Stegostoma tigrinum: one gene and its partner. The protein of the gene in region 1 interacts with the protein of each later gene in a biochemical or structural test. Links are inferred from orthologs where the notes say so. Each region holds a gene or a part of one and is shown on either strand. Other genes may lie near its edges.

Region 1 (8,934 bases):
GTTACCTCTCATCTCAAACTGGATACCAGCCTCGTCTTGTGACAGATGGATACAGCATCCAAGGAGTTACTGAGAGTTGTGCAATTATCAGTGAACATTCCCTTGGATCCAGAGAAGATCATTGATGAAGCAGCTGCTGATGGTTTGTCTTAGCATACCAGTGCTTCAGTTGAGCTACAAGATGGCAAGTTTTATTTTTATTATTTTATGCGATCTGTGTCACTGAAAAGGCCTACCTAATTGTCCTTGGACTGAGGTGCATGCTGAGCCATTTCAGAGATAGTGCATATGAATGATGTGGAGATGCCGCTGTTGAACTGGGATGGACAAAAGTTTCTGCCATCCTTCATCAGTTTTCACCTGACGAAGGAGCAGTGCTATGAAAGCTTGTGATTTCAAATCAGCCTGATGAACTATAACTGGGTGTCATGTGACTCCTGACAGTGGGAATGAAGACACGTCGGCCAGACTGGATAATGAAAGCAATTTTCATTACCATTAATGAATAAGATGGGCTTTTGCTGCAATCATTTCATGGTAAACATTAGAGGAACTACCTTGCCAATTCAGAATCATGACCATAAAGAACCAAGAACAAGAGTAGGTCATTCAACCCTTCAGGCCTGCTGTTGTCATTAAACAAGATCATGGCTGATCCAACACTCCTCACATCTGCATTCCTGCCCCTTTCCCTGTAAGCCTTGATTCCCCTACTGATCGACAATCTATCTATTTCGGCCTTAAATGTACACAAGCATTCTACTGCCACAGTCCACTGTGGCAAGGAGTTCCAAAAACTGTCAACCTCATCTCAGTCTTCAATTGGCACACTTAATTCTAAGTTTATGCCCTCCAGTCCTAGACTCTCCTATGAGGAGAAACATCCTGTCAACATTTATCTGGTCAAGCCCCTCAAGAATCTTTAATGCTTCAATGAATTGAATTTAAATTCCACCATCGTCATGGGAGTAATCTGGGTCAGCAGTTCTAAAGACACTGAAGAAGCTCAATAGGACAAAGCAGCCACCTGACTGGCACCAGACCCCTAAACCTTCACTCCATCCATCAGATCACACTGTGTATTGTCTACAAGATGCACTGCAAAAATTCACCAAAGATCCTCAGGCAGCACCTTCCAAACCCACAACCATTTCCATCTAGAAGGTCAAGGGCAGCGGGTACATGGGAACACCACATCCTGCACATTTCCTGACAAGCCACTCACCGTCCTGAATTGCAAATATATCATCGTTCTTTCACTGTCACTGGATTGAAATCCTGGAACTCCCTCCCTAATGGCATTGTGGATCTAGCTAATGCTCATGGTCTTCAGCGGTTCAGAAGGCAGCTTCAGCATCGATTTCTCAAAGACACCTACGGAAGGACAATAATTGCTGGTGCAGCCAGTGATGCTCACCTCGCACAGAGAATAAAAACAGTCACTGAATGATTTCTCCCACTCTCTCTACGGATGCTGCCAGACCTGCTGAGTTCCTCCAGCAATTTCTCGTTTTTGTGCCTTTCGTTAATAACCCACTGATATTACCGCTGAGACACTGCCTTACCCTACAGAGCACGTGCGTCCTTCAGGCGTCTCTTCCCGCGCTCCCTCCGCGCGCATGTGCCAAGTTAATGGTCACGTGGTGCCAACTCCGCGCTTCCCACAAGGCGGGAGAGGCAGGGGGGAGACCGCGACGTCTTGGCCGCTGCTCGATGTTTCAGGACCCGCAAACGGTCGCCGCCGCCACCACCACCACCGTCCTTGCCCGCCCTCCGCGATATGCCTTCGGCTTGCTGGAGACACCCCGCAGCGCCGGGGGAGACCGAAGCGCTAGCTCTTCTACGGGGAGGCCGGCTTCAGGCTCGGCCTCGGAGCCGTCTCGCGGTCACCAAGCTCCCAGCGGTTTCACACCGAGCGGTGGCTCGTGCGGCAACGGTGGCCTGAGCCGAGGTGAGTGCGGCGGGGCCTTTAGAGGAAATGTTTTCACCAAGTGAGTGGTGGTACTCTGGAACTCGTTGCCTGTGAAGAAAGTAGAGGCAGAAACACATAATATTTTAGGAGTATTTAGGTGCACACTTGTGATGTCAAACCATGTAAAGCTGTGGACCAAGTGCTGGATAATGGGATTAGAATAACTATGTGCTTGTTTTAGACTGGTGTAGATTAGATTAGATTCCCTACAGTGTGGAAACAGGCCCTTCGGCCCAACAAGTCCACACTGCCCCTTGATATATCCCACCCAGACCCATCCCCCATAACCCACAAACCCCTGAACACTACGGGCAATTTCCCATGGCCGATCCACCCACCCTGCACATCTGTGGGAGGAAACCCAGGCAGACACGGGGAGAATGTGCAAACTCCACACAGACAGTCACCCGAGGCTGGAATTGAACCTGGGTCCCTGGCGCTGTGAGGCTGCAGTGCTAGCCACCGTGTCGTATGACTTAGAGTCATACAGCATGGAAACAGACCGTTTGGTCCGACTGGTCTGTGCCGACCAGTAATCTGACCTAGCCCCATTTGCTAGTTTTTAGCCCATGTCCCTCTGAACCCTTTCTATTCATGTACCCATCCATATGCCTTTTGAAATGTTGTAATTGTACCAGCTTCCAGCATCTCCTCTGGCAGATTGTTCCAACCACATACCACCTGTTGCATGAAAGAGTTACCCCTTGGGTTCTTTTTGAGTCTTTCCCCTCTCCCCTTAAATCTGTGCTTTCTAGTTTTAGACTCACCTAACATGTCAAAAAGGCCTTGATTTATCTGCTGAAGGACTTCTCTTGTACCATAGACATGTATGGCTACAAAGGGGAGATGATGGCCTAGTGACATTATTGCTGGACTGTAAACCCAGAGACCCAGATAATGTTCTGGGGACCCAGGTCCGAATCCCACGATGGCAGATGGTGGAATTTGAATCCAGTAAAACATCTGGAATTGAGAATTTAATGATGACTGTGAATCCATTGTCGATTGTCGGAAAAACCCATCTGATTCACCAATGTCCCTCAGGGCAGGAAACTGCCATCCTTACCTGGTCTGGCCTACACGTGACTCCAGACCCACAGCAAAGTGGTTGACTCATAACTTAGCTGTGGGGAATAAGTGCTGCCGAGTCAGCAACACCCTCATCCCATCAATGAATAAAGAAAAAAATTACTTAAAGTTAGTGGATGTTTTATTCATTACAATCCATCTTTATGTTTGTTTTGACAGAATCATATTTTGGTGATAAAAGTTCGAACATAGGGAACCAAAACCTGTTTCCATCCGTCTCGGCACAGAGCAGTTCTTCACTGAAGGGTTATGATGATACCAGAATAGGGAAGACACCTGCGTCCACTACCAGCAGCAGTCGCAATGCAAGACCCCCTTGCAAACTTCGTACTCCCCAGACTGGCCACTCAGGTTCATTGATAATTATTTTTATATCTCATCAAAGAAAAATTTAAATATATTCTTGCTCAGTAGTTCAATGCAACTTTTTAATTAGAATTGTTATCAAAACAAAAACATGGAGTGGCTGATAGACCCTTTTAATAGAAGGTCGTTTGACGAATTCCATTGAATTTACAACTCAGAAGTAGCCCATTCAGCTGTCATTGACAATATTCATGCTTCTCATTGTTCCATCCCATCCTACGTTATTTCAACTCTATCAGCACTGCTATTACCATCTCCATCTCTTCCACTTCAAACTCCCAGCATTTCTTTATCTCTGGGAAAATGAGATAGAGTCCTTGCAGGATGGGGTCTGTGTAGTGAAGATAGCTGTGGGAATCAATGGCTTTGTACTGGAGGGCAGTGAGTAGTTTATTCCCTGAAATGGAGTCAGGCAGATCATGAAAAGGAAGGGAAGTCTTGGAAATGGGCGATCTAAAAGTTATAGAGGAGTGGAAATTGGAGGCAAAATGAATGAAGTTTTCAAGGTCTTGCTGGGAGCACAAAGTGGCACCAAAGCAGTTGGTGTATCGAGAAAAGAGTTGTGGGACAGGATTGTTCCACATACCCCATAAAGAAGGATGCATAACTGTGCCCCATGCAGGTGCCCATAGCCACTCCTTTGACTTGGCAAAAGTGAGATGAATTAAAGGAGAAATAATTCAGTGAGAGAACAAGTCCACCCAGGTGGAGGAGAGTGCATGTGAATGGGGATTGTTCAGGCCTCTGGTTGACGAAGAAGCCGAGAGCTCTCAGACTTTTCTGGTGAGGAATGAAGTTATAGAGGGATTGGGCATCCTTGGTAATCGGGAGGAGGTTAGGGCCAGGGGACTGGAAATTGTCAATATGGTGGAGAGCATCAGAGGAATCATGAATGTAGGTGGGCAGGGCACAAGTGGAGAGAGGATAGTCTCAAAGTAGGAGGAAATGATCTCAATGAGGTGGGCTGATACTTTGGGCCTACTGGCTCTGTATGGCTTGTGGACTTTGGGAACGAGTTGGGAGACGACTAGGTGGGAGGTGGGGGTTTGGAGGGAAGATCTCCAGAGGTAATGAGACCGGTGACAGTCCTGGCAACAATGGCTTGACGTTCAGATCTGTCTCCATTTGAGGGGATAAACTGTCCACTGCCATCCATTGCAAAGCCACTCATTCCGGACGCTACCTTCTCTACAGCTTGTTGCACCCTACATGCTGCAAGGACTCCATCCTATTCTCCCAGTTCCTTTGCCTACGTCGCATCTTATCGAATGATGCCATCTTCCAAAGCATTGCTGCTGACATGGCTTGCTTCATCGATGACTGTGGTTTCCCACACACTGATTGATAGGGCCCTCAAACCCGTCCAACATATCACCCATGCTTACTTCCTTATCCTTTCTCATCACTCAATAGAGTAATCGGGTTCCCCTTGTCCTCACTTTTCGACCCAGCAGCTTCTGTATTCAAAGGATTATTCTCTGTCATTGAAGACAACTCCTGCTGAACACCACCAGCAAACACATCTTCCCCTCGCTCCTCCATCTACCTTTTGCAGGGATCGTTCCATCTGCGACACCCCACCCCATTTCCACAACCACCAACACCATTCCCCCCTCTTTGCAGTGTTTTCCATGTAACTGCAGAAAGTGCAACACTACCTTTCATTTCTTTCCTGCACACCATCCAAGGGCCTAAACAGTCTTTCCAGGTGAAGCAGCATTTCACCTGTACCTCCTCCAATCTTGTGTATTGTCATCACTGCACCCTATGTGGCCTACTCTACACTGGAGAAACCAAACACAGACCGAGCGACAACTTTGCAGAACATCTCCGGTCTGTGCACATGCAGGACCCTGACTTTCCCATAGCCAGTCACTTTAACACAGCGTCCTGCTCGCACGGCCATGTCTGTTCTCGACATACTGCGGTGTTCCTGTGATTCACAGCGCAAACTGGAGCAACAACAACTCATCTTCAGAATAGGCATTTTACAGCCTTTTGGACTTCAGTTCAATATGGAGAATATTGAGTTCAACACCTTTAATTGGTGAGCCATTTCTTCCCTTTTAGCTTTTTATCATGTCTTCCACTCCCAACATCCCAGTTACTGCCCTTTCAAATCTGGCTGGAGACACCATAGTTCTGCCATTTTCAGATTCCAATCACTTAATTTGAACAATTCACGTTTTTTTCTCCACCAGCACCCTATATGCACTACCCCCGTGCCTCCCCGCAAACTATAGTGTAAATGCTGAACCCTCCACACTTTACTTCAGCTCTGAATAAGAGTCATCTGGACTTGAAACGTTAGTTGCTGTCTCTCTGTGGATGCTGTCTGACTTGCTGTAATCTCCTGCATTTGTTGTTGTCAGTACAGATTCTAGCATCTGCAGTATTTTGCTCCTGCTCTCAGCAATCAGAGGACCCAATTTAATGGTGATTGAGTAGAATTTGTTTATAAGCCAAATTGTTGTGATCTGGAATGTGCTGCCTGAAAACATGATGGAAACAGATTCAATAATAATTTTAGGCAGAGAATTGAATAAGTGGGGAAAGAGCAGAGGAATAGGATTAACTGAGTAGTATTTTTCAGAGAATCAGCTTGGGATGGAATTGCCTTTTTCTGCACAGTGTTTCTATGGTTTATATTAGCAAACTGTCTTAATGTCTTGAACTTTGATTTGATTCCAGACCACATTATAATTGAGGAAAAACTAAGCCACAGAGACTATTTTGAAACCACATCATAGTGAACCTGGTCACTAACTATGCATCATAATATTTTATATGGAACAAATGCAGAAAAATAGTATATCTTTCAGATAGTTATACTCTCAAAATATTGAGATGGCTCCATTTCCTCTACACAATTTTTAATTAAATTTGTGCGCAAACAGTAATTTCAGGCACGCGCGTGAACCCATGAATCAAAAACAGCATCCAATGTCTCAAAGTTACTCAAAATATTAACTTTTTTTTCTCTCTTGCAGCTGGTTACCATAAAATTATCATTGAGTTTTATTAAAGCCCATCTGGTTTACTGACGTCGTTTTGGGGAAGGAAATCTTCTATCCTTACCCAGTCTTGTGACTTCAGAACCACAGAAATTTCTCTCTTAACTGGTCTTTGAAATGGCCCAGCAAGCAGCATCCTTATCCCATGATAGATGAAGAAGAGCACCAATCGGGAGGTACAACATTTAGAAATTCTCCAGTGAATAACTCATTTCCCATCTTTTCAATGCCTGTCCATCATTTACACAACACGAATCAGGAGTGTTGGAATAACCAAAACAGAATCCCCCTTGTCCTCAAGTACCACCCCACTAACCTCCAAATCCACCGCATCATCTTCTGACATTTCTGCCATCTGCGACCTGACCTCACTACCAAAGACATTTTTCCCTCCCCACCCTTATGTGCTTTCCAGACGGGCCACTTCCTCCGTGACTCCCTTGTCCACTCCACACTCCTCTCCAGCCCCACCACCCCTGACACTTTTCCCTGCAACCGAAGCAAGTGCCACGCCTGCCCCTGTACCTTCTCCCCCAGCGCCGCCGCCCCCCCCCCACCCACACACACACACACACACACCTGCATCCGAAGAAGACTTTTTTCACATCAAATAGATGTTCACCTGTACATATGTTAATGTGATACGCGGTATCCGCTGTTCCCATTGTGGCCGCCCCTACATCGGGGAAACCAAATGGAGGCTTGGGGACCACTTTGCGGAACACCTACGCTCAGTTCTCAACAAACAACTACACCTCCCAGTCGTGAACCATTTCATCTCCACCCACCCTCACCATTCCTCGGATGACATGTCCATCTGGGCCTCCTGCATTCCCACAATGACGCCACCGGAAAAATGCAGGAACAGCATCTCACATTTCGCTTGGGAACCCCGCAGCCCAAGGGTATCAATGTGGACTTCACAAGCTTCAAAATCTCTCCTTCCCCCAACCACATGCCAAAACCAGCCATTTAGTCCCCGCCTCCCTAACCATTCCCCCCACCTCAAGCCCCACCCTCATCTCCTACCCACTAACCTTATCCTGCCCCTTTGAGCTGTCTGCCCTCCCTAACTTCCCACCTACATTCACCTTCACTGTCTCTAACCCTGCCTCTTTGACCTATCCGTCTCCTCTAACCCTATCTTCTCCTTTTATCCATCTTCTATCTGCCTCCCCTTACCTCCCTATTTATTTCAGAATCCCCTTCCCCCTCCCCCATTTCTGAAGAAGGGTCCCAACCTGAAACATCAAACTTTTCTGCTCTTCTGATGCTGCTTGGCCTGCTGTGTTCATCCACCTTCACACAGTGTTAACTCAGTGTTGGTATCAAGATACAGGACAAAGTAACCCATTATTGGAAATTTAGTAACTTCGGTTTTTATTCCCCTCATCACTATTACACAGGCTGCAACTCACCAAGAGCGCTCCAGCAGCATCTTTCAAATCTGTGACCTCTACCCTTGAAGGACACGAGCAGGAGACTCACGGAAACACGTTCAGCTACAAGTTCCTTTGCTAATCACACCTCATCCGACTTGAAACTATAATGCCTTTCTACACTGTTGCTAAATCAAAATTCTGAAACTCCTGAACCAAACTGCAGCGATTCAAGCAGGCAGGTCATCACCATCTTCTGGACAACTAGGGATATGCAATAAATGCTGGCCAAGTTAGCACTGCCCACATCACATTGATGAATTAAAAATAATTCAATCTTGCATTCTTTTAAGTGTTTTACATGTTATTGTATGGGTATCCTAGCTTGCCAGGTAAATGGTACAGCTTTTCACAGCTGGATTTGTTATTTTTAATAAAGTGTGTGAATACAATGGTTCAAGATGGCAGCTCACCACCATATTCTCAAGGGCAACTAGGGTCAGGCAATAATTGCAAGCCGGCCTGTGTCTCCCACATCCTGCAAATTAATTAAACAATACTGCTGTAAAGTGCCTAAGTGAGAAATGAGTTGTTATTCATCAAGCTTGCTTTCCACTTTGATGGACCACTGCAGAAGGTTCAGGATAGAATTGCTAGTGAAAGAATCAGGGTGGTTTATTGAAATGGCAAGCAATTGCAAAGTTGAAGTCATTCCTATAGACTAAACGTAAGTGTTCTGGAAAATAACAGGAGCATGAAAATTAGAGCTCTGCTCATCAACTACAGCTCCGCCTTCAGCACTCTTATCCTCTCCAGACTGATCTCAAAACTCTAAGACCTAGGTCTCAGCTCGGCCATCTGCAACTGGATCTTTAGCTTTCTGACCCATAGTCCCCAATTGGTCAATCTGTGAAGATAGACTAACAGCACTTGCTCCATGATTTCCCTCAACACTGGAGCGCCCCTGTAAGGATGTGTGTTAGCCCCTTACTGTACTCCCAGTACACCTGCGACTGTATATCCAAATTCTGAAGGAACAGCATCTGCAGGTTTGCTAATGACATGACCATGGTAGGACAGAAGTGAAACAACAATGAGTCAGAATACAGGAAGG
Region 2 (8,817 bases), on another chromosome or scaffold:
TACAAGATAATGAGAGGCATAGATAGAGTTGATAGCCAGAGACTATTTCCCAGGGCAGAAAAGGCTAACACGAGGGGTCATAGTTTTAAGCTGGTTGGAGGAAAGTATAGAGGGGATGTCAGAGGCGGGTTCTTTAAACAGAGAGTTGTGAGAGCATGGAATGCGTTGCCAGCAGCAGTTGTGGAAGCAAGGTCATTGGGGTCATTTAAGAGACTGCTGGACATGCATATGGTCACAGAAATTTGAAGGTGCATACATGAGGATCAATGGTCGGCACAACATCGTGGGCTGAAGGGCCTGTTCTGTGCTGTTCTGTTCTATGTTCTATGTAACAGTGATAATGGGAACTGCAGAAGCTGGAGAATCCAAGATAATAAAATGTGAGGCTGGATGAACACAGCAGGCCCAGCAGCATCCTAGGAGCACAAAAGCTGACGTTTCGGGCCTAAAAGCTGATGTTTCGGGCCTAGACCCTTCATCAGAGAGGGGGATGGGGTGAGGGTTCTGTAATAAATAGGGAGAGAGGGGCAGGCGGACCGAAGATGGAGAGAAAAGAAGATAGGTGGAGAGGAGAGTATAGGTGGGGAGGTAGGGAGTGGATAGGTCAGTCCAGGGAAGGCAGACAGGTCAAGGAGGTGGGATGAGGTTAGTAGGTAGGAGATGGAGGTGCGGCTTGGGGTGGGATGAAGGGATCGGTGAGAGGAAAAACAGGTTAGGGAGGCAGAGACAGGTTGGACTGGTTTTGGGACGCGGTGGGGGAAGGGGAGATTTTGAAGCTGGTGAAGTCCACATTGATACCATTGGGCTGCAGGGTTCCCAAGCAGCATATGAGTTGCTGTTCCTGCAACCTTCGGGTGGCACCATTGTGGCACTGCAGGAGGCCCATGAGGGACATGTCATCTAAAGAATGGGAGGGGGAGTTGAAATAGTTTGCGACTGGGAGGTGCAGTTGTTCGTTGCGAACTGACCGGAGGTGTTCTGTAAAGCGGTCCCCAAGCCTCCGCTTGGTTTCCCCAATGTAGAGGAAGCCACACCGGGTACAATGGATACAGTATACCACATTGGCAGATGTGCAGGTGAACCTCTGCTTAATATGGAAAGTCATCTTGGGGCCTGGGATGGGGTGAGGGAGGAGGTGTGGGGGCAAGTGTAGCATTTCCTGTGGTTGCAGGGGAAGGTGACGGGTGTGGTGGGGTTGGAGGGCAGTGTGGAGCGAACAAGGGAGTCACGGAGAGAGTGGTCTCTCCGGAAAGCAGACAGGGGTGGGGATGGAAAAATGTCTTGGGTGGTGGGGTCGGAGTGTAGATGGCAGAAGTGTCGGAGGATGATGCGTTGTATCCGGAGGTTGGTGGGGTGGTGTGTGAGAATGAGGGGGATCCTCTTTGTGCGGTTGTGGCGGGGGCGGGGTGTGAGGGATGTGTTGCGGGAAATGCGGGAGACGCTGTCAAGGATGTTCTCGACCACTGTGGGGGGAAAGTTGCAGTCCTTGAAGAACTTGGACATCTGGGATGTGCGGGAGTGGAATGCCTCATCGTGGGAGCAGATGCGGCGGAGGCGGAGGAATTGGGAATAGGGGATGGAATTTTTGCAGGACGGTGGGTGGGAGGAGGTGTATTCTAGGTAGCTGTGGGAGTCCGTGGGCTTGAAATGGACATCAGTTACAAGCTGGTTGCCTGAGATGGAGACTGAGGGAAGCGTAACAAATGCTTCTTCACTATCCTGTCTACTTGGGGCTCCACTTTCAAGGAACTATGAACCTGCACTCCAAGGTCTCTTTGTTCAGCAACACTCCCCAGGCAGTTGTGGTGATCTTTCAGGAATTACTGAACTCAGGAAGAGTCTCCAAAAACTGGAAAATACCTAATGTAACACCACAGTTTAAAAAACAAGGGAGACAGAAGACAAGAAACTATAGGCTGCTTAACTTGATCTCGGTCATCGGCAAGATTTTACAGTATTAGAATGACTTTCCATTCTGAGGAATGTAACTACGAAGGGAGGAAAGGCACCGATGGCCAGTCATTTCAGCCTGAAAATAGACCCAGGTACCAAAGTAAATGCTAAGTGTGTTGCTTCATGAGGTCATAACACCTGATGTTTTGCAAAAGGAAGGAGGAGTGAAATTTAATACAGGAAAATACTCAGACAACTACTGGGGGCAGAAAGTTTTGTGTTTGGAATGAGCTGCCAGAGGAAGTGGAGGAGGCTAGTACAATTTACAACATTTAAAAAGCATCTGGATGGCTATGTGAATAGGAAGAGTCTATAGAAATATGGGCCTGAATGCTGGAAATGGGGCTCGATTTATTTTAGGGTAGTTGGCATGCACGAGTTGGACCAAAGCGTTTGTTTGCATGCTGTACAGCTCTATGTATCTATGACTGCGGAGTACTTGGAAATCCATGGTAAAATAGGGCTGAGTCAGCAAGGTTTCATCATTGGCAGGTCATGCCTGAGAAATCTGTCAGATTTCTCAAAGTGCTAACAAGCAAGTTAGACAAAGGAGAGACAGTGGACGTGACATATTTAGATTTCCAGAAGGCCTTTGACAAGGTGCCATATAGGAGACTGCTAAATAAGATGAGATGTTTGGGGCAAGCTACTCGTATGGTTAAAGGATTGGCTGACAGGTAGAAGGCAGATAGTAGGGATAAAGGTGTCTTTTTCAGAATGGTAGCTGATGACTAGAGGAGTTCTTTAGGGATCAGTATTGGGAGCTTAGTTATTCACACTTCACATTAATGATCTGGTTGAAGAAACAGAGGACGTTTTTGCTAAGTTTGCAGATGACACAAAGCTAAGTGGGGGGACATTTAGTGATAAGAAAGCAGTGAGACTGTGGGAAAGTGTGAAGTTATGCACTTTGGAAGAAAGTATTGTGGCATAGATGATTTTCTAAACCAGGAAAGGCTTTGGAAATCTGGAACACAAAGGGTCATGGGAGTCCTCATTCAGGATTTTCTCTAGGTTAACATGCAGATTTCAGTTGGCAGTTAGGAAGGCAAATATAATGTTTGCATTTGTTTCAAGAAGATTGGAATATAACAGCAGAGACGTACTGATGAAGCTGCATGAGACTCTGATCAGGCCACATTTGGAATATTGTGGGCAGTTTTAGGCCCTGCATCTAAGGAAGGATGTGTTGGTTTTGGAGGGGGTCCAGAGGATATTTACAAGAATGATCCTACGGATGAAGGGCTTGTCATATGAGGAGTCCTTGCCTGTACAGGTATTTCTGCTATACCATGAATTGGCTGTAACGTGATTGATGAATAGTGCACATTGCTTGGATAACGCAAACTTTCTACTGTGTAGTATAGCAAATTTCCTATAACACAATTTTCTATGGCAATTTTCTTTAGCACAAGGTTGCACAAGAACACAACTATCATGTTACAGGAGAAATGCTTGTACTTGGAATTTAGAAGGCTGAGGAGCGATCTTATTGAAAATTAGAAAACAAGATAGAGAGGACATGGAAAAGATATTTCTGCCTGTAGGAAAGACGAGGGCCTGAGGGCACAGCCTGAGTGAAGGTACAACCCTTTAGAACTGAGATAAGGAGGCATTTCTTCAGCCAGAGGGTAGATCATCTGTGGAATTCATTGCCGCAAAGGATTGTGGAGGCTAGGTGTTTCAGTGCATTTAAGCCGGTGATAGATAGGTTCTAGATTGGTGAGGGGATTACGGATAATAGGGACAAAGGGGTTGAGAAACATATTCAGCACAATCAATTGGCACAGCATATTGTAAAGCTGAAGAGGGTTCAGAAGAGATTTACCAAGATGTTGCTGGGTATGGTAGATTTGAGTTATAAGAAAAGCTGGATTGGCTGGGATGTTTTCTACTGGAGCATAGGAGTTTGAGACGTGGCCTGATAGAAGTTTATAAAATAATGACAGGTATAGATAGAGTTGATAGTAGTTGTCTTCTCCCTAAGATAGGGAATTTCAAGACCGGAGCACATCTTTAAGGTGAGACGGATTTTAAAAAGACATAAGAGGCAAATATTTTACACGGAGGGTTGTTCAAGTGTGGATGTAGGTACAATTACAACATTTAAAATCCATCCAAATGGCTTTATTAATAGGAAATGTTTGGAGGGGTATGGGCCAGGAGCAGACAGGTGGGACTGGTTTAGTTTGGTATAATGATCAGCATTGACTGGTTAGACCAAAGAGTCTGTTTCTGTTCATGACTCTGTGTTGAATGGCCTAACTTTGCTCCTATATCTATGTTCCTAATTGCCACCGATCAGCCCATCTGACAAGTCAATGTCCTTCCGACATAAGGCTATAATATCATCGTTCTCACTACTTACTAACCCACCAGTTTCTATATCATCCATAAACTTTGCAATCAACCACCTTATATTCAAGTCTAAATCATTTATATTATCCACAAACAAGGGCCAAACACTGGTCCCTGCAGAACTCCACTAGGCACAGGTTTCCAATCACAAAAACACTTCTCAACCATGAGCATCGATTCTAGTTCTGATGAAGTGTCACTGAATCCAAACTGTTGATTGATTTTCTCTGTACAGATGCTGCAAGACCTGCTGAATATCTTCAGCAATTTATTATTTTTTGTCTTAGCCATCATGCTGCCACTCAGGAAATTCCAGATCCAATTAGCCAAATATCCTGGATCCTATGAGCTCTCACCTTTACTATCAGCCTCCCGTGTCAAAAGCTTCGCTGAAATCCAACCTATCTGGTCATCTCTGAAAAGAATTCAGTCCAGTTGGTGAGATCTTGTACACACTGGTTTAAAGGAAAACTATTCTGGGTGTATTTTAATAATTCTGCTCCCTCTGAACTTTCACACCTTTCCAGTTAATGTTGGGGAAGCTGACCATCATTACCTTTAGGGTTAATGGGGAAAGGGGCAGGGAAATGTTGATGAGGAGGAACGTTGGGTCAGTAAGATGCTGCTTGAGCCTGCTGTGTTCATCCAACTCCACACCTTGTTACCTCGGATTCTTCAGTTCCTATTATCTCTGATGGGTCAGTAAGGATTAGTCTCGATGGGGTGTTCCTATTTATAATGGCCTTATTAGATTTTGAATTCTGTCAGATGTGCCTCTGTTTGTGTCAGACGCATCATGGAGGATACAGGCATTTCACTGTCCTAGTGCTTCCTACTGCATTCGCCAACACGCATGCGCGGAGCTCGCCGGCGCACATCTCCCAGGAGGCCGCGAGCACGGAGCATGCGCAATCGCGCCCTGTCTCCATGGTAACACGGCCTAGTGGCGATGGGTCGAGCCTACGGCGGGAATGGCAGACCGAGCGGTGGCCGAGGAGCGTGGCCGGCTTCGGCTGTTGGCGGCCGACACTCAGGCCGCTCTGCGCTCCGGGGTGGCGGTGCCCTCTCTCGCCCGGTGCCTCGAGGAGCTGCTCCTCAACAGCCTGGAGGCCGGCTGCGGCTGCGCGGCCGCTCGTGTGAACGCGCAGGCTGGGCGCGTGCAGGTGGCCGATAACGGGGCGGGCCTGGAGCGCGCGGCCCTGGAGCTGGCGGGCACGCGCTACTGCAGTGGGAGTGGGAGTGGGGGTGATCCTAGGTATACGTGTGTTCCCAGGGCAGGTGGTGGCCCAGGGGGTGGTGGTGGTCAAGGGAGGGGTGGTAGTGACCCAGGATGGGGTGGTGGCCCAGGGAGCGATGGTGGTGACGGCCCAGGCGGTGGTGGTGGTCCTGGGAACCGGGGTTGGAAATGTCCCAAGGGAGAAGACGATGGTGATCCCAGCTACCTTGACCTGCCAGGGCCTGGCGCCCGCGGTGAGGCCCTGGCCAGCATTGCTCACCTGTCAGGACTGCTGGAGATAGTGAGCAGGCCGCAGGGCTCCAGTGGGACCTGGGTGAAACTATTCCGCAATGGGCATGCCCGGCCGGTTTGTGAGGCTGAGACGGGGAGGCCGAGTCCCGGAACCACTGTCACCGTCTGCAACCTTTTCTACCAGTTGCCAGTGAGGCAGCGCCGCCTTGGTCGGCCCCTGGAGTGGGAGCAGATCCGCCGCCGAGTGCAGGCTCTGAGCTTTCTCTACCCTGGGGTCTCGTTCACTGTACGTGATGAAGCCTCGTCTGCGGCTGGAGGCTCGTTGGTGGTGAGGCTTCCCAAAGTCAGTAACCTTCAGGCCCGCTTTGCTCAGATCCATGGCTCTCAGCAGGCAGCAACGCTATGCTGTATCCAGCACTCATCCAATGGTTTCCAGCTGAGTGGCTTCATCAGCCGTCAGGGCCACCACAGCAAAGCCCAGCGACTGGTCTTTGTCAACCGGCGACTGGTGCTTAAAACCCGTATCCACAAGGAGCTGGACTCACTGTTGAGGCGACACAGCTTAATCTGTCAGCCTGAACCTGGCACTGGGCCCCGGGGAGGCTCTGATCTTCACCCTGTCTATATCATCAACATCAACTGCAACCGTAGCCAGTATGATGCCTGCTGGGAGACAAACAAGACCTTGCTAGAGTTCACTGACTGGAATCTTTTGCTGAGTTTGCTGGAGGAGGGGGTCCAGGCCTTCTTGCGACAGGAACAGTTACTGGTTGACCCCACAGAGGAGCAGATTCCTGTCCCGCTCCCTGTTGCTGGCTTGGACTTCAGGTTCTCACATGAAAGAGTAGCAGTGCTGTCCAAATCAGTCCATCGTCTGGTAGTGGTTCGAAACATTCCAAGGTTGGCAGCACATTCCGAACCCTGTGATGCTGTCTGTCAGGGGCAAGTCTGTGACGACATCAAACATCCAGCCTTGCATGGTCAACAGAGTGGCCTGTCCTGCATTAAATCCCCAAGGCACAGCCTTCGTTCTGCATATCAAGAAACAGCCACAAGTGACAAGTCTCCATTGGAAAAGGAGGGAAGCATTTTGCTCAGAGACCTGAGTACATCAGCCAGCTCTCGGACACAATCAACACAGCAAGCACAGCCTGGCACAGCTCTTTGCCTCCTCACAACTGCCAATGAGAATAGGACCTTGTCTGTCACTGAAAGCCCCGTACAAGAGGAGAAGCAAGCAAAGGTGGGGATCGGAAAGCAGGCAGGGGTACCACAGAGGGAGCGGGGGAGGGAGTCACTGGGGGAGCAGGCAGGGGAATCACAGGGGGAACAGCTGAGGGAGTCACTGGGGGAGCAGGCAGGGGAATCACAGGGGGAACAGCTGAGGGAGTCACTGGGGGAGCTGGCAGGGGAATCACAGGGGGAACAGCTGAGGGAGTCACTGGGGGAGCAGTCAGGAGAATCACAGGGGGAACAGCTGAGGGAGTTGCAGGGGGAGCAGGCAGGGGAATCACAGGGGGAAGAGGTGAGGGAGTTGCAGGGGAAGCAAGCAGGAGATGTGGGGCAGGTGGGGGAATCCCGAAGAGAGCAGGCAGAAGAGGGGGAGCAAATGAGAGAAAGGGAGCAGATGGGGGATCCATGTGAGAAGCAGGCTGGAGAATCACAGGGGAATCAGTGGGTGGAGGAGCTGTGTGGGGAGCAGGAAGTTGAGGTGGAATGGCAGAAGGACGGGGTGCTGCGGGGAGTAAAGATGGTGGAATTGAGTACGACTGGTCTCATAACCCACATTGTCCCCAGAAAAACAATAGAAGTAGGCACTGTAAGTGTTAGCTCTTCAGACTGGAGTCATGTCCATCGTCCGGGTCCAGTGAGTGCTTGGGAGATTCTGAATGAAAGGAAGAGAAAGGGAGATGGACAGCTCCTGCCTGATGACCGAGTGCTCTCAAACATATGTCAGAAAAGTGGGAGAGATATTCCCCGAGGTTCTGTGACTGACTGTCAGAAAATTCAGGATACTCATCAGCCTCACCATACATCTGAGACCTTTGCAGAATCAATGATAATCTCTCAGAAGATGAATTTACCACAATATCTCACCAGTTTGGAGAACAGAACTCCTGTCAACTGTGAGCCCATGTGTTGTCAGGCGAGATTCCACAGAAAGCTGGGCATGTCTCTAATAACTGGATCTCTGGATGTATTTCGGAGAAACTATGGGAAAATCAATGATGACCAGGATGGTGGAGGCTCTTCTCAAGGCAGTGCACCTATTCAGGACAGTACTGGTGAAGCAACCAAAAGGCCATCACTGTTTAATGTGACTGAAACCCCAGGAACAGAGAGGCTACACCAAAACACCAGTATCGGATTTACTGGTTCTGTAATTAGTGACCAGAGTGAGAGTTTGCAGCTTAATCAGTGTGATTGCCATAGTCTTTTAAGGAATTTGCATTCAGTTGGAACTTTCCCAGTTACTGGTCGTGTGGCCAGGGCACATGCCACTCCGTTTACAATGCCTGGTTATTCACAAGCCAAACAAACCTCTCCAGTTAGCAAGGAGCCTCGAAGAACCCTTGCTGCAAAATTGTCCAAGTTAAAGGACCTTAATAAAGGACATGCTGCTGATGAGAAAAGGGAAGAATCCAAAGCAGGAAGTTCCCTCAGCTCTCGCCAACCTTGTGAGAGTTTCAATGACCTTCTTCAGCCAGAACAGCAGTGTGCAAAACCTCCAACTCTACAGCAAGCACACTCAGCTGTTCCGGTGAACTCTGAAAATTGTCCCCTTCGAGAAAGGGGAATGAGTGAGGCAGACTGGCAGGAAGACAGCATCGGTGCAACAATTGAGAGAGCCCAATTCCTGAGTAACAGTAGCTCTTGTCTTGATAAGTTGCCTTGGCCCGCAGTTGATGAAAGAACTGATAATGGAACAGATGCTCACTCTGGTCTCCAACCTGCAGACCAATCTCAAGATGACAGAACAAGTTCTGTAAATTTGAACCCACTTATAAGTGATTCTGTAGCCACGCAGAAAATGTCAG

The links.
Region 2: the proteins of msh4 (region 1) and mlh3 form a complex in vitro, tested with the Homo sapiens proteins (2 studies listed by BioGRID). The link is inferred for Stegostoma tigrinum from reciprocal best matches to the Homo sapiens genes MSH4 and MLH3.

What each region holds. Positions count from the first base shown.
Region 1 is NC_081361.1:100,898,337-100,907,270, reverse strand, and holds the start of msh4 (mutS protein homolog 4), read left to right. Parts: upstream 1-5,331; coding exon 5,332-5,474; intron 5,475-8,934. UniProt on the Homo sapiens protein: Involved in meiotic recombination. Required for reciprocal recombination and proper segregation of homologous chromosomes at meiosis.
Region 2 is NC_081363.1:860,853-869,669, reverse strand, and holds the start of mlh3 (DNA mismatch repair protein Mlh3), read left to right. Parts: upstream 1-5,250; 5' UTR 5,251-5,282; coding exon 5,283-8,817. UniProt on the Homo sapiens protein: Probably involved in the repair of mismatches in DNA.